3 linked regions of the Drosophila melanogaster genome follow. The protein of the gene in region 3 interacts with the protein of the main gene of each other region in a pairwise test. Each region holds a gene or a part of one and is shown on either strand. Other genes may lie near its edges.

What was found. The genes of interacting proteins can lie anywhere in the genome.
Region 1: the proteins of Stacl (region 3) and CG10343 interact in a two-hybrid assay, tested with the Drosophila melanogaster proteins (one large-scale study listed by BioGRID).
Region 2: the proteins of Stacl (region 3) and CG42820 interact in a two-hybrid assay, tested with the Drosophila melanogaster proteins (one large-scale study listed by BioGRID).

Annotation. Positions count from the first base shown.
Region 1 is NT_033779.5:18,700,742-18,705,297, reverse strand, and holds CG10343 (uncharacterized protein), read right to left. Parts: upstream 1,826-4,556; 5' UTR 1,746-1,825; coding exon 1,638-1,745; intron 1,571-1,637; coding exon 1,461-1,570; intron 1,389-1,460; coding exon 962-1,388; 3' UTR 844-961; downstream 1-843. Other genes in the region: Jwa, read left to right, coding at 1-544; CG10376 (uncharacterized protein), read left to right, coding at 2,385-3,671.
Region 2 is NT_033779.5:8,389,038-8,394,926, forward strand, and holds CG42820 (uncharacterized protein), read right to left. Parts: upstream 3,362-5,889; 5' UTR 3,259-3,361; coding exon 2,839-3,258; intron 2,772-2,838; coding exon 2,247-2,771; intron 2,173-2,246; coding exon 1,048-2,172; 3' UTR 844-1,047; downstream 1-843. Other genes in the region: CG42819 (uncharacterized protein), read right to left, coding at 1-232; Acp29AB (accessory gland protein 29AB), read right to left, coding at 3,470-4,174; lectin-29Ca, read right to left, coding at 4,523-5,233; Peritrophin-15b, read right to left, coding at 5,496-5,767, 5,835-5,844.
Region 3 is NT_033778.4:15,398,570-15,404,373, reverse strand, and holds the start of Stacl (Stac-like), read right to left. Parts: upstream 3,279-5,804; 5' UTR 1,991-3,278; intron 1-1,990.

The sequences.
Region 1 (4,556 bases), on a different chromosome or scaffold from region 3:
CGATGACTTCATCCTGGGATCGGCCCGATTCCAACTGCCCAATCTCAAGGATTTTGAGAAGTGGGGCAATCGGGTGGTGAAGAACCTGCTCTATTACCAAACAAACTACTTTTTGCTCTTCATTACCATCTACGTTTTGATGATTTTCTTCAATCCTTCAAAGATTATTACTGGTCTGCTGGTGCAGGCTTTGATCATAGGCGTTATCTGGCAGTTCTTCAGCGGAAAGTCGAAGAAGAACTTCATCGCCAGTCGTCTGACTGGTGGAAATGCCAATGCAGCAGAGCAGAATGCCCAACAGAAATGGTACATACTGGCTGGAGCTCTGCTCGGAGGTTATCTTCTTCTGCATCTGCTGAGCGCAGTGCTTTTGACGATTTTCACCGTGTTGCTACCTATTTCGCTGACCTTCATCCACGCCTCCTTGCGACTGCGAAACATCAAGAACAAGCTGACCAACAGCATCGAGAGCTTTGCTCCCTCCACGCCCATGGGCTCCTTGCTGGATGCCTTAAATGTCCGGGCCGAAGGCGTCTTTAATTAGACTGACCAGTTTGACACAGTTGGAATGATCGTTTTTATCGCTAGTTATCCTTGTCAATGTTGATCCTTGCAAAGCAAATCCCGGTATTGTAATCGATTTTGATTTTTACTTTTGTATTAAACTATGATTTTATGCAGCCATCATGTAACGCAAATATTACAAATGTCAATAAAGTTTTCCCAGGAATTTCGCTGTGTTGCTCCTCTAAAGATAATGTTATCTTATAAGGGCCAATCCTCTCACCCAAATCAAAAGTTGAAACCTTTGATAGTTAGTAGCGTAAACAAGATATAGACTTTATGATAGCCGCCCATGCAGTTACTCGCGTTTATTCTATCACATAAAATAGTATTGGCTTTTGATTTCAATTTAAGGTTTCCTCGATGTTATTACTCCTATTTTTAGTTGGTAGGCATTTTAGTTGTTCAGGGGGTGGAGAGCTGGAGCGTTGGACGCTGCAATTTCGGCGGCAGTGAGAGAATCATCGTTTTTCCCACCCGTCTGCGATAAATGCTTGACGAGGTCCACCCAATCCCAGCCACGTTCCCGGTCTCCTTTGTGATCGGTTCTCTCCCACTGCCGGCGCTTTTGCGCCTTAGTCAGGTGCTCCTTCTTGGGCTCCTTTTTCTTGGACTCCGCATCGGCATTGGGATCGGAGATCTTTAGAGCACCCACGCCATCATCCACTAACGCCACCGTGGGTGCAGATTCGGGTTGCTCTGCGGTCAATTGCTCCAGGTTGTCCTTAAGGCATTCGAACAGGGTATAGGTCATGCCACAGCCCAGCCATTGGTCCGCTTCCGTACTCAGAGCCGTTTGGATCCCTTCCTTGACAGCTGGCAGTCTGTTAAATAGGAAAGCGTAGTCTTTAGAGCTAAACCTGCTCCAATTTCCCAAGGAATAACGATCCACTTACAGATTCCTATTGTAAAACGCGTTCATGTTGATCGCTGGCGCCTCATCGGGGTAATTTTCGCCCCACTTGAGCTCGACCAAGAACGACTTGTAGTTATCCTCTTCGCCATACTAAAATTTCATTTATTATATTACAAATTATCATATTTGTGTGCTTTTTTTTATCCATGTGGCTTACTTTGTACTGAAATGTGACGCTATCTATTTCCTTGAAGTTCGTGTCGCCCTCGTATATTGACTGCAACGCCTCCCGTTCTTCCGTCTGCTGTTCCAGTGGCGTGCTCATAGTAAATTGTGTGGATTATCTTTACTGTTCAAGATTTTATCATTTTTTGTTAAACAAGACAAAAATCAAAATTTGTAACAAAAACAAAAGCAACAGTAACAATCAGCTGGCCACCGGTGGATGTGTGGCCGTTCTATCTCAAATCAGTTATAGCTTGTCTCCACTGGGTCCGCATGCGAAGCCTTAAAAAGGCTAAATAGGTGTTTTTGTTATTTATTGTAAAGGCTTGATTAAAATTATGTTTATAAATATATTCTATTATTTCATTTAAAATACTTCTGAAGTTTTTTTTATGTTTCCAAATGCAGTTAAAGGTTTTCAATCAAAATTAAAAAATAAATAAAAAGAGAAATGAAGCGTAATAGATGAAACCGAAGATGAAGGGTAAACAATCTTCGTAGGTGGGAATATCACGCATCTATTTCGATAGGCATAGCAAAGTTATCGAGCCAGTACAGTTCAGTTCGCAGCAGAATAACATAGAAGAACGCAAACAATAACAACATAAAAAAAAATCATAAAATGCACAGTGCGCGCGTGAATCATCGTTGAGCAACAATTAGCATTGATAAGCTCATGATCGCGCGGCGTCACTAGGAGCGGAAACAGGAACTGAGGCACACGCGACCCACGACAAGTATGTCGTCAGATGCGATTCCCGCATCGGAATGTGCGCACCTGATGGAATTCAAGCGATTTCTGGTCAGCACGGCGGAGAAGGCAGCAGCCGTAAGCGAGGAGGTGGTCAGCCGGAGTTGTGTAACTCGTACGGCCAATGAGACATACAAAGTGTCCGGCGAGGAGCGTCATGCCGAATTGGTCTCAGCTATTTGGAAACAACTGGAGACTCGAGGATGTCCGGCGCAGTTCCGGATTAAGCTACTCCATCGAAGCACACAGCAGCTGGAGCAGGATCTGTGCTTTGCCAAGGAGTGTGAAGTCACCGTGGAGGGTCCGCCGCAGTACGATCTTCTCAAGCTGCAGAAGTTCGTGGCCAGTGAGTTTGAGAAGTACATCCTAAAACTCACCGACAACTCGGAGGTGGATCGCCTCAAGGACTTCGCTGATGAGGCGGCGCCGGAAAACTGCGAGTGCCACCAGCAGAAAGAACCCCTGCACACATCTGCCGCTGTAAAGAACAAACCCCGCAAAATGGAGGATCGCTGTGTTTGCCTGGATCGATTTGGTGAAATGTACGAGCTGCTGGACAAGACCACCCGTTTTTTTGGCGTCTTTGATGGTCACTCTGGCTCTTTATCCGCCACCTATGCAACCAGCCAACTCCCACAACTGCTAGCCGATCAGCTTAAAGCAAATCCAGATCCTGCTGCATTCTCCCCAGACTTTTATCGCAATGCCTTCGAGTCGGCATTTTTGCTGGCCGACGAGCGTTTCACCCAGAAGAAGATCACCAGCGGCACAACCAGCGTGTGTGCCTTGATCACAAAGGATCAGCTTTATATCGCTTGGGTGGGCGATTCCAAGGCCCTTCTCGTGGGCAAGCGGACTCAACTGCAGCTGGTGAAACCGCACAAGCCAGAGAATCCGGATGAGCGCAAGAGAATAGAAACAGCTGGTGGAACAGTGCTCCACGCCCAGGGGCAGTGGCGTGTAAATGGCATTCTTAACGTGGCCCGCTCCATTGGCGACTACAGCCTTGAGGCAGTGATCGCAGAGCCGGACTTCGTGGATGTGCAGTTAAATGAGGCTCACGACTTTCTCGTACTAGGCACCGATGGCCTGTGGGATCATGTGCCCGAGTCGCTCATAATCGAAACCGTTTACGATTCCCTAGCGGATACCACAATGAAGTTGGACGACATTCCCAAACTGCTGATAGAGGCTGCCAAGGAGCGGGATTCCCAGGATAACATAACAGCGGTGGTGGTTTTGCTCAAACCGCGACATCAGATCGAACATCTTTAAAAGTTTAGGTCCGAGCAGCAAATTTTTTATATTGTTACCCGCCTTGGGATGGGTTAATTTTGTACAAATTCAAAGCAACTTAAAAGTCGTAGAAGCGAAAAGTAATCTTGAATCAACGCCCTTTGTGTGGTGGGATAACACGAAAAGTCATATCAAATTTTACGTATTCGAAAGAGAAAAATGTGCCAAATATTTTTAAACAATTCAAGAACGCAATATACACTTGATATTGGCATGCATATTGTGGGAATATAAGTAATATAATCCATTTTCTAAAAGATTATTGAACGTACGCAATCGTTTAATGTGATACAACGAAAATAAGGTATTACAAGATGATAGAACCCAAGTCCTTGCCTAATTAAAAACTAATAATATGCCCAAAGATTACTTTCCGAACCTACATTTGCAAATTAATCAACGAGAATTAACCCAAACCGGCCCATTGTTGTTTCGTTTACTTTACGTTATTGTTGTAATGTAAATAGCTTGGAGCTGTTCGGAGTGCTCCTACCTTTATTGTCACATTCTCACGTGCCTACGTGGTCCTGAATATGGATGACCCCATCCCGGTCCACTTGTTTGGTTGCTCGAATAAGCTCAATCAAAATATTTTGTGGTTGCTCAGCAGTTGAACGAAATTTTAACAAGTTAAGGCAACTGTTGTTAGCCCAATAGTATATAGAAAAAGTGCACAATTACGCACATAAATATGTTTACATATATTTTAGATTAGCCAGCAAGCATATTTATACACATTGAAGTTGTTTTCGGCCGCTTAGTGCTTCCTGCTGTACGATAATAAGCCAAGCCATGTAGCCAGGTACACATATATCGTAGTTAAACGCGTATATATTTACACCCGTAACCGTATTTAATGATCCC
Region 2 (5,889 bases), on a different chromosome or scaffold from region 3:
GCTCAACTGCATCGGTAGGCGGTGGGCCGTAGGTCAGATCCGGTGGTCCATATGTCTGATCCGGAACTCCTTCCTCGAATGGCACCTCCGGCTTCAGTTCGTCGGCGGATGGATAGGGTGCTGCCTGCTGTTTCTGAAGTTGCTTTGCCAGCCGTGCTGGCTGAGCTGAAACCGCTCCAAGTGCCAGGACCAGAACCAGCAAGGAACAGGATGACTTCACGTAGCTGCGCATATTGGCTTTGACGCAAGAGATACACGAACTTATGAGGGAACCGTTGTTGATTGATTGATAACTTTGCTGTTCATTACCTGTCTTTTTATATGTTTTTCGGGTACTACGTGGATGGATTAATCAATTTTTGGTGGTAAAACGTGGTCGTTTGGTTAATGACTGGGTCATCCAGTGGCCCTTGTGGTCATTTGGAGTTGTCGTCAATGTCACGTTGCAGGTGCCCAAAACGGGAAATCAATCAGCCCATTAATTTCAGTGTCAATGTTAGCCAGAATAATTTTTTTTATGAGTTATGGAAAATTATAATAAATACACATTGCATAAATATGTTTTAATACATTATTAAAAGTTGTTATATGCATATCACTAATTTTCATGCAATGGGCTCTTAAAATTCCCAAGTTCTTTTTCCGCATGGAGTGCTTATAAAGCGCGACAAGTGTGTGGTCCAAACGTGTTGTTTGGAAGGAGAGCAAGTTAGCACTCCCCTAGACAAGGATGGAACACATAAACGGTCGGCTAGGCACAGACAAAAGCCGTCCACAAATTTTTTTAAATCTTATGATAGCTTAATGCCAAATATCCCTTAATAAAATAGAAAAAACACATCAAACATATACATTTCTATATTCAGAAGCTCTACTTGTCAAATGGTAAAAATAGTCAGAGGTATAAAAACATATCAATTTAGTCTTGAACTTATCACTACGCACTAGAGATTCAAATAATTGAATGTCAGTCAGTCATGACCACTACATCGGGTATTGTAAAATCTTGTTCTTACAAAAAATCCTGATTTAGGAGCTAAGGTGTGCTTAGCCATTTTTACGAGCTAAGTAGTAGCTGAAGGTGGGATCTATACTCCTGACAGAACTGGGCAGATAAGTAAAAAAGGTACGACGAATCCTGGAACTGTTGACAAAGCGCAGGCTGTGCTGCGCCTGCCAGCAGAGACGGGATTGCTTCAGGACGATCTGAAGGACTTCATCGCGAAATGACTTCTTAAATTTGTTGGATTTTTCCATAATTTCCTTGTGCAGTGCATATGGAATGGGATTTTGTTTTACGATCAGCGGATCTATATTAGTTAGCAGCGGAATCAATTTCTTTTCCATCTCCGACAATTTAGCCATATTGTGTCTGTAGCTTTCGAAATCCGCATGGCTTTGTGGACCATATCGCTTACCATATCTCCTACAAATCCATTCCCGTACTTCCGGAATTTGATGGCCATTGTGGAGGCTGGCCAGCACCAGTTTGCTGTCGCGACGCAAGATTTCAAAGCCATCGCTTAGCATTTGGTCCATGAACTTGTCATCATCGGGATCGATTCGCTCGCGATTGTAGACGAGGCGTTCGATGGAATCCTTGGGTGTCGGCGTAGTCGGCACCGCCAGCAAACTCTTCTCAAAGATTTTTCTCACACATCGGGACACGGCTTCGTTGATGTGACTTCTCCTTATCGGCCCCGATGCAAGGACTCCTTGTCGATGCTCATTTTTTTGGCCACCGAGTGCTTCCATTAAGGACTTCTTAACGACATCATTTGTGTCCAAAGACTGCTTGCTGTTCCTTTTGAAAACGTGTGGATAGTTGAAGGCGAAGGGCTTGTGGTCTCCGGGTGACGTGAAATATTCAGGTATGGCAATAGAATCCTCCTCCTCCTCCTGCTCCTCCTCCGCCAATACATCTGGTTCGCCATCCTCACCAGCGCAGAGTCGCATCAGCGCACCACTCCTGTCGTACAGACGTCCCCATTCACCTTCGAGGAGTAGCACCTGGGGAGGAGTGTCCAAGCTTACGTGCACCAATTCGTTGCAAGCAACACAACCGGCTTTCCGGAAAGCAGGCACACCAGGACTCCAGCCCTTGTCACCAAACTTTAGAAGGTACTCATCCACGTCGCGATTAATGTGATGCAAAATCCGTTCCCTTGTAAGCTTCACCAGAGAAATGAATGTCAACAATTATTCATAAATTAATTATAGATAATTTTGTTAATAGGATTACTCACTCGCTTTGCGGTCCCTTCCAAGTCAATCATATCCAAATAGCGTCGTCGCTGCTCTTGCAGGAACGCCTGTCGCTCCTGGGTTCGAGTTTCCTCATGGAACCCGCACAGATCCCTCGCTTTCTGTGCAGGATCCGTGGTAACCTCGTCTATGTGGTCGAAAAGGTGACACAGTTCGTGTTTGATAACTGCCTTAACTGTTCGCTGGATGGGATGAAACTGGAAGTCGGCATACCAACGGTCCTCATCTTCTTTGGGATCGCCCACTTCGTTAGGGATCTGAATCTTTAACAGCGGCGAATCCGACAAAAACTGATTAGACCGACGGGGAGTGGTTTTGGGACGTGGTTGCTTTTGAAAGTAGTAGCTTTTGCGCGAAGACGATGGTTTCTTTTTAGTTGTATGCGAGGAAAGAACTTTGTCCAGAGCTCGAAATGTAGCCGGTAGATCCAGTGGCATTTCTTCATCTATATTTTGTGGATAGGTCTTAGAATTCGGTATTATGATGGAAGGCCGAGCAGAGCGATTCTGAAAGAGGGCAAAAGACCAAAACTTCTTTTTAATATAATAGTTTTAACTCTAATTAGCAGCTTACATTATTAATCTGTCGATTTTTCATCTGTATCTTGGTTTGCCCACATAAAACACCGGGTAGAGGTAGCACTTTGTCTAGAGCTCGAAAAGTTGCAGGCAAATCCAGATAGGCGATGGCCGAGAGCAGAAGTTGTCCATTAACTGAGTACTTTCCGCACGAAGTGCCGGTGTCGTAGTGCTCCTGGAATAGAAAGTAGAGAAAGGCCAGTTTCTGGCCACGACTGAAACGCCAAATTCTATGGAGTTCACGATTTCTGATCAAAGGTTGCACTCCCAGGCGCAGCAGACAATCCCGAATGGACCTAATATCGAATTGCAGTGCCGTTCCCAGCTCATCGGCCGCCTGCATCTGATCGAGCGATAGACCACGATACCAACTAGCCACGGGTAGTCCCAAATCAACACCTGTATTCTTTACCATGTTCCTAGCAAGTGGATAAATTCACAAGTAAAACGAAGAACAAACAATTTAAGAAACTTGGTAAATTTTGTGGGTGTTGCAAATAGCTTGAATGAGTGAATTTGGAAATAATACTCAGTGCAGACCTGTCTACACTGTGTTCATATACAATAAAATCATTAAACGAGCTGTTTTTTTTTATTCAAGCTACAAAACAATATTTTCTTTATGTTTAGGCCCACTGGTCTGCTTGGCAAACGAAAGATTTTTTTTCAAAACACTCATCATAGGACATCTCTTTAGCATAGATGTAAACGCATTGATTCTTTTTTTTTGTATCCTGATTACTCTTCCATTTGACAAAGAAGGGTTCTCGTCCGGTTAGGGTGGAGACGAATGTGCCGCCATTTTCAACCAGTTTGGATATATCTATCCAGTAGCTATTGTTGGGTGCTAACGCCAAGATGCCATCCAGCTCCATCTCATCCTGGATGTTCGCCAGATGACCGTTCATTTTACGACATGTGACATATGCCTCAAACCAAGTTTGCATTAGATTCTTCTCGATGTGAAAATGTCTGGAGCCAACTTTCTCGAATCGTCTCATCTTGATGTTGTTAGACGCTTTGATGTTGGATGCATGGTGTCGCATTATAATCTTTAACGGCTGAAGCTGGATTTCCATCTGGGCCTTAAACTCCAGCAAGCTACTTGCTATGCGCATTTCCATTGTATCAATAATTGCCAATGTTTCGTTTTGTTTAAGCGCGTTGTATGTAAACCAATAATTCTGGTTAATACCAATCTGATCGATTGTATTTTGCGGCGTTTGTGGACTTGGCAATGTAGCCTTTCCGTTCGGAATGTCCTGCTGCCCACCACTGAGATCCCAAAGGTTCCATAATGCCAACAGGTATAAGAGGTTAGATGCGTACATGTCCAGTTTGGAAGATTTCAAGCGTGTGAGATCCAATCTGGCTAAAGAACTTCCAATGAGCTCAACTAATTTTGTCACGCTTTTTAATGATAATGTAACCGTTTTAAAGCATCACTGTGAAAAGCAAAAAGGCTGGAAAAATTAAAAAAAATGAAAATCTACTATGGTGTATTGAAAAAAAAAAATATAAAATGCCTAAAGTTAATAGCTTTATTATTAAAGACACATTGCAATTTTGATGATTTAAAAAAAATACATATTAAAGTTTAAAGGAGTTCAATTTTTAAACCTTTATTATCAAAGTCACATTTAAAGTTTAAAATAGTTCTAAAAATCAATGCTCGATATTCAGGCCCATTGCTCGGCTTGGCAAGCAAAATAGTTATCATTGGCACAATTTTCAAAGTACATTTCATTGGAATTGATATACACGCAATGGTTATGTATATTTGTGGCCAGATTTGGCTTCCATTTCAGAAATGGTACATCCCTTCCGGATAGTGTAGAAATCCAGGACGCTCCATCGTTGGCACGGCTGTTGATATCTACCCAGTACTTTTTTTTGGTTTCCTCTGAGAATATTTCATTCAGCTCCTTCTCATCGAGGATATTCGCCAGGTGACCGCCCATTTGACGACACGTGTCGTATGCGCTATCCCAGGGCATCTTCTTTTGCTTTTCTAAGTAAAAGTGCCGGGAGCCAATCTTCTTGAATACGGACATTTTGATTTTGTTGGACATTTTAACGTTTTCCATGTAGGGTTCAATTTGTTGCTTTAGAGCCCGAAGTTTAGTTTCCATCTGGTTTTGAAAGGACTGCAATCGCATTTCTAAGCGTTGCTCCATATTACCAATTCTCCACAAAGTTCCATTTTGTCTTAGCGAATTGTAGGTAAACCAGTGCTGCTGGTGCATATCAATATTCTCGATTGTATAATACGGCATTGGTGCTTTTGGCAATTCATTTGTTCCTGTGGAAGTATCCTGCTTTTTGGCACTGACGCCCCAAAAGTTCCATAAAGCGAAAATGGAGAAAATGCAAGTTGCGTACTTGTACATTTCGAGGGCTAATAGTCTGTGAGATCAATTATTTAATTCCTCCTCGGACTAACCCTTTTTTTTACACTTCCCAACGAGATAATCACCCGGAACATTAACCTTTTCAAGCATTAAATACTCTGTTAAAAATTCGATAAAGATCCGAGAAATCTAGAGATATATTCTAGACTTCATTCAAGCCCATCTTCCCAGTTAAATACCATTACAAATGAACCAAAAAAAGTTAATGAAAAACGTATAAACTGCAAGAGAAGTTTATTGCTTAAGTGGATGCTTCGGAACATGGAGGATACCACTGCCAAACGCTCCAATCGACGCAGCTTCCAGTTTTCGGATCGAATCCAGTGTTCTGCTCGCAGGCAACTAGCTCGGCCTGTCCGGTGCTAGAGCACTGCCAGTAGTGGGTTGGATCCCAGAAGTCACGGGAAATCTCTCCGGAGCGTCCCACGCAATCGGGCTCACCATTGCCATCGGGATTGCAGTCAAGGTCGGCGTAGATGGCAACGCAGAGGGTCAGGAAGAGAAGGACTAAAGCTGAAACAGAATTCCGCTATTGGCATCTCAATGGTTTCAGCGATGTGAGGTCATCAATGAAACTCACCTGCTTTCATTGTGGTTTGTTCGAGTGATTAATACCGAATGCGATTGGAACGCAA
Region 3 (5,804 bases):
GTATAAATGCGAAAGCGTGGCGAAACATGTTGGTCGTTTTCTCAGTTTTTTAGCGTTTTTGTTTTCTTTTTTTATTTTTTGTATTTTGGCCATTCAGGAAGGTGGTCGTTGGACGTTATTAGCATGCCATCATCACCATTGCCGGCTGGGCCAGCAGTTCATGTAGAACGTGCTCAAGTGGGCACGGTCGCGTACCTCATTATTCCCCCCAAGGACCTCCTACTAACACCACTCTCCGTGGGGGCTTCCCCGTAAAATGTTTTCATTTGGGAATGGACCCGGTGTTTTCGGTGGTCTCGTTTTCGTGCAACTAAAGAAGAAATCAGAATCAGGTCAGCGACAGTAACGGCGGTACCAAAAACTTGAAAGTCACTTTAAGGCTGCCACACAAAGCCGAGAAGAGAGCAGATGAAATAAATGTTAAGGTCAACATGGAAGGAAACCGAGATATGCTGCCCGAGCGTAAAGGCGGGAGTCAAACCAACAAGTCTCGAAATATTCACTTTGTAATTGGATGCTGTCGTCTGCTGCCTGCTGCATACCTTTATAGCCCAGTCGACCCTCAACAAAACCATACCAACGAACACCCACCGCCAGCGGCCATAAAAAAGGAGCTCAGAATGAATGCACATGGGCTTGTGTATGTGTACACCGCGAGTAAAAGTGCTGGAATCGAAGTGGGGTCCTTCAAGTGAGAAAATCCAAAGCGATGCAAGACATATTACAGAGAAAAACATAAATACTCTCCATATAATATTCCTTTAAACCCCAAGGAGTTTCCAAATCTTAAATATTTTAAAGTTTACATTGTCTAACCTATCTTGCAGTGTACCGGAGCCCAGCACTCTTAAATCAATACTTTTATTGTGTAATTTAAATCATTCAGTTTTCACCCAGTGTATTCGTATCTGTGAGTCTCCGTTGTTCTTCAGCGTTGTTTTCTTTCTTCACATAAAGTCGGTTTGCCTCTGTCTGTGTGTGTTCAGCCATTTTTTGTAGCCCCAAAGTTGAAGCGAATTGTCGTGTTTGTTTTATAGTTATTGCTTTTGTTTCGCTTTCGCCCATCGCAGTGCTCTATTGCCCAGCTTTTCCTACAGCTTTCTCCTTTTTTTCCCTAGCACTTTCCATTTTTTTTTTCATCCTCCTGCGGAGGAGTGCGCTCTTCTTGTCCTTGCCCCTCCTCCAGCTTATGCACATTTAATCTTATGACAGCAAAAATGTTGTAAAATTGTTTATGGCACTTTGCGACATGGTCAGTATTTTTACAGTTTACAGTTTACTCCTTGGGATCTTTTCATTTCGTACACATATGTTCCGGAACTACAGGAGCATTTACATGTTGCTGCTGGGCGGGAATGGGATTTGACGGATGGAATCTCGTGACGAGTGGGATTACGTGGATAATGGATGGAGGAATTGGGCAGCCGTGCGCAGGACCTTTGCAAAAAGCGACGAACTTGCAGGAGTGAAGAAAGTCACCAATGACACTTTAATTTCTTAACTGCATAGCATTCTTTTAATCACATTTCTCAGCTGTAAGTAGTTGCACTTAATTAATGGATACAGATTTGGGAATTGTGAGGTGAGTAAACTTAAAAAGAATTTTAAATGCACTCTGCCAACACGAAATATATGCAATTAAGAAAATTGCTTTAAAAGTAGCCAAATGACCATTTTAGTTTGTAATGATTTTTGTCAAACTTTAACTTTGCTAAAGAAATTATTTAGTTTATTCAAAACTTGCAGTAGTTTCTTTCACTTTGGCAAAACTTAAGCTTCCACAGAAACCCAAATTCATTTTCAATCAAGTTTTCAAAGCTTAATCTCCTTTATTAGTTGATGGCAAAGCTCTTAGCAAAATAAAATCATTGACAAAACTTAGCATACCATTTAATAAACTTCTAAATCAGACTATCCTTCCAAGTGGTAGAAATGAAGTGCCACATTCATTATTTTTCATTCGTTCTACACTGCTGTGATTTCAACTTACCAATTTCGAGAAAATGTTGGCCTTATCTGTCGTCGACAACCTGTTGGCTGCTTTTTCCCATTCACTTAAACGCTTTTCCTCTGATTCCGAATCTTATCTCTATTGTTGCCGCAATAATCAGGCGAATTTCATAAAATTCACTTGGCAAACGATTTGGTTTTCGTGTCAAAGCTCTGTCCAGTTCAATTTGGTATATATTTTAATCGAAATATATTTGCCAAGCTGTCTACATTTTGCTATATACCCGCATTTATTTGTATACGTTCCTTGTGTGGCCAGCAGATGTTTGTTAGTCTCGTTTTTGTTGTCGTTTAAATCTAAAAATTATTATTAGTAATTTGTTGGTCTGCAGACAGCGTATATCCCTCTCTCTCTCTCTCTTCTCTTTCAGGGGCTTTTCTTCTTCTATCGTTTTTGGGTGAAAATTGAAATTGGCTTTCAGCGCCTAAGAATTTTTATCACGATAATTTATGATTGGAATATGCGTGGTCAGTTAGCACTAAGTAAGTACATATATAGTAGACTCTCTCTTGTTAATATGGTATAGTATAGCTATAGTTCTGTCGAAAAATATAGTGTATTCCCTCCTTGTTCCTCAGGCTTCTTGTGTGTTGTATTTTTTTTTTTTTTTTGTTGCGAATTTTGGTCAGGTTATCTCTTTGTGTTATTGGGCTTTTCGGGCACACTTAGTGACTTGTAGCTTGGGGAGCTCTCATTATGGTCACGTTGAAACCGTTGTGGCACTGGCCCAGGCACACTCCACGGCGGAACGGGTTCAAATTGCTTGATTGCATTAATTATTCAGTGCCAACGTCGACGTCGTTACATCTACATCAGCGGCAGCAGGCCGCGCGCATGCCAAAGTTTACTTATGTAAATGCGCCGCGGTAGTCAAATAAACACAGAAACAGAAACTTTTCAGAGTTACAAGTACACACGCGGAGTGGCGATAGTAAAAATTTAAAGCATACTTTTCAGGTGAGCTGCGCTTTGATTTGCATCCAAAAACACAGTTAGCGCGCACACACACGCACGCACCAGGACTTAGGTGGCCAACACGCACACACTCGGACAAACCGACCAAACGACCAACCGACCGACCGACTAACCGAAATAGAAAGTACTGTGCTGGATACTTGTTGTTTCAGCGGCACGAACACCTAACTACTGCCACACTTGTTACGGCCTGGAGTTCAGTTCAGCTCAGCTATTGTTCAGCTGTTTTGGCTAAGTCTTTATTTGTTTGCCGTGCTGCTCTTCCGGCCAACATCACGTCCAGCTAGCGACTGAACAGTGGTTCCAAACGAACGGCGGCGACAACACTGCGTATACGCAACGTCCACAAGTCGGCTGCTTTATTTTCGGAATAGCTTGATGCGGCTGCGTGGGCAAACGAAGAGAAAGCAACTGGGAATTCCAAAGAGCGGGCAGGTGCTCTTGGCCAGAAAAGAGCAGTTATGGGAAGGGAATCAAGCAAGTGGTTGGGCCCTAAGCAAAACAATTGCCATGGAAGTTAATCATTTGGTGCCGATGGCGGTGTGAATACGGAATTCTTTATATACTAATTAATTGCATTACTAATGTATTATTCGACCGGCTCATAATCGAATAATGGAACTTTTTGACGTGAAACAATTTGTTTGCACAGCCAAGTGACGCGATACCGTACACATTCAGGTCAAAGGTTAATTTTTGTCCCTATCTCCCGACACATGTGAGGCCATTAAATAGCAGGACCAGCAGCTTGGTAATGTGTTATTAGAGGGGAGATGCGGCAGGATGGTAGTTGCCACAACAGAGGACAATTAATGAAGCAATCCACGAAGCAATCTGTTGCACTTTTGCCACGGCAATGCACGTAATTAAGTGTAAATTAAAACCAAGTTAACAGGTTAGAGGGCGAACGGAATGCAACGAATGGTGAATGTTCTAAGCGGAATTTTATTGAAATAAAATACCTCATTGAAATCCTCTACCAACATATTTTAACTTATTACTATTATTACAACTTTACAACAATCAGGGAGGGCGCTATAGACGAGTTCTTCGACTACCACATACCCTCTACTTAGCAGGGGTGATGTAAATGTGAAAGAGATTGCAACTAATTAAGTATAGTTATTTTAAAAAATTAGGCTTTCTTTAAATCGCATTAGTGAAAGAAGCTGTTCTCGTCTAATAAACATGGCTAAAAATAGGATTACCCGTTTACCCATCTAAATAAACGGTCAGCTAGAGCCATCTTTATGCTTGATCGCATTACAGTGATTATAGAAGTTGTTTACCCCAACCGCTAACCGCTGAATAGCTCCAAGAATTTGTTAGCCAACCTGGTCCTGTTTGCTGCCCATGGAATCGGGTTTCGCGCGAAGGTAGCGCAAATAAAAGAAACAAGCTTAAGCTCCTTTCAAATACCGTTCAAAGTTAGCAGAAAATCGATGCAATCGAAGCAACAGCAACAACAGCAGCCAACACGAAAGGACATCCGATTCGCAGTGGGAGATTTCGAGGAAAAGGCGGTGGGACAGAGATTATCTCGGTTGGAAAGTGAGAAAAGTTTTTAATTAAAATTCACACGCAATATGTTGCGCATACGCAGCGTTGCTCCGCCACCATCTTACCACAAATTCCTTGCTCATTAGCGTTCAAATTGTGCGCATATCATGTAATTTAGATTAGATTGAAATTGAAAATGTTAAGCGAACCAAGTGGCTGTCTCCAGCCAGCCATCGGAATTTCCAAGAGGGTTGATTTTGATTGCGTGGTCGGGGGAATTATTGCGGCTTTGGCTAAGCTCCTGCTAGAGAGTCCAACTTATAAATATTAATAAAGCCAGCAGCGTGGATCCTTCGTCCTGCACGGGCACATTCGTCAAGTAAATGAAGTCGTCATGAATGAAGCGGCCAGCAATAGAAACAAAATAAATAACTTGTGTAAAAATTCCATCAGTAAATTGTGGTCCTGCTCTACTCTCAATTTTTCAAGAGGTCGACAAGACAAATGGCTGATCAGCTGGAAATGTTTACATTATCTAATCAAAAATTATTCTAAAACATAGTTTAAAATCTATTTTTATTTATTTGTTTATACTTCATTTAGTAAGTTAAATATAAAGAAAGCTTTCATTCAATGCAGCTTATATTGTGCGGAAATTTATACCACATTATATTTGAGTTACCTGAAATTGGCCTTAGATCTGCTAATTTATTTATTTTTGGGTACTACATGTGATTTCTCTGGTATTTTAGTGTTCGGCTTGAATTATATATTTTCTATCGATGCGTTACGCAGAAATGGCGAACTTGTTGCTGGTGGGACACGTTTTGAGGATGCCTCATTGAGAATGCGGTTGGCATTTGCCGCAGTATTCCCTCACACACGCATACGTGTAGCACCTTGGTCGTGGTGCCGTAACTGCTGGATGTCCTCAATTATTGCGACAACTTGTGATTGGAAACTTTGGTAGATTGCCATCGCAGGACTTGCCATCTGCACTTTGACCTATCAAGTGTGAACGAATCGGAACTGCTGTGCGAAGTTTTACGAAGTGTAATGATTGCACTTTCAGGCGGTAAATGAAATTTATCTACTTTGATGTGGCCACTTTGTCAACTTCGTAGCCACATAATTGAGTTTTAATTACGGGTCGACGGTCAGTGGAGACGCTGTCATTGTTATGCCACAGCGATGCACCTCTCAAGTGGCACGTATTGGACCCCGGAGAAGGTACCTCCATTAGCGCCACGTTAACGGTAATTGGTCGAGTTGCAGGCCTGGAAACTTTAGTTTCCCTGACAGCGCGCGATTTCCGGCG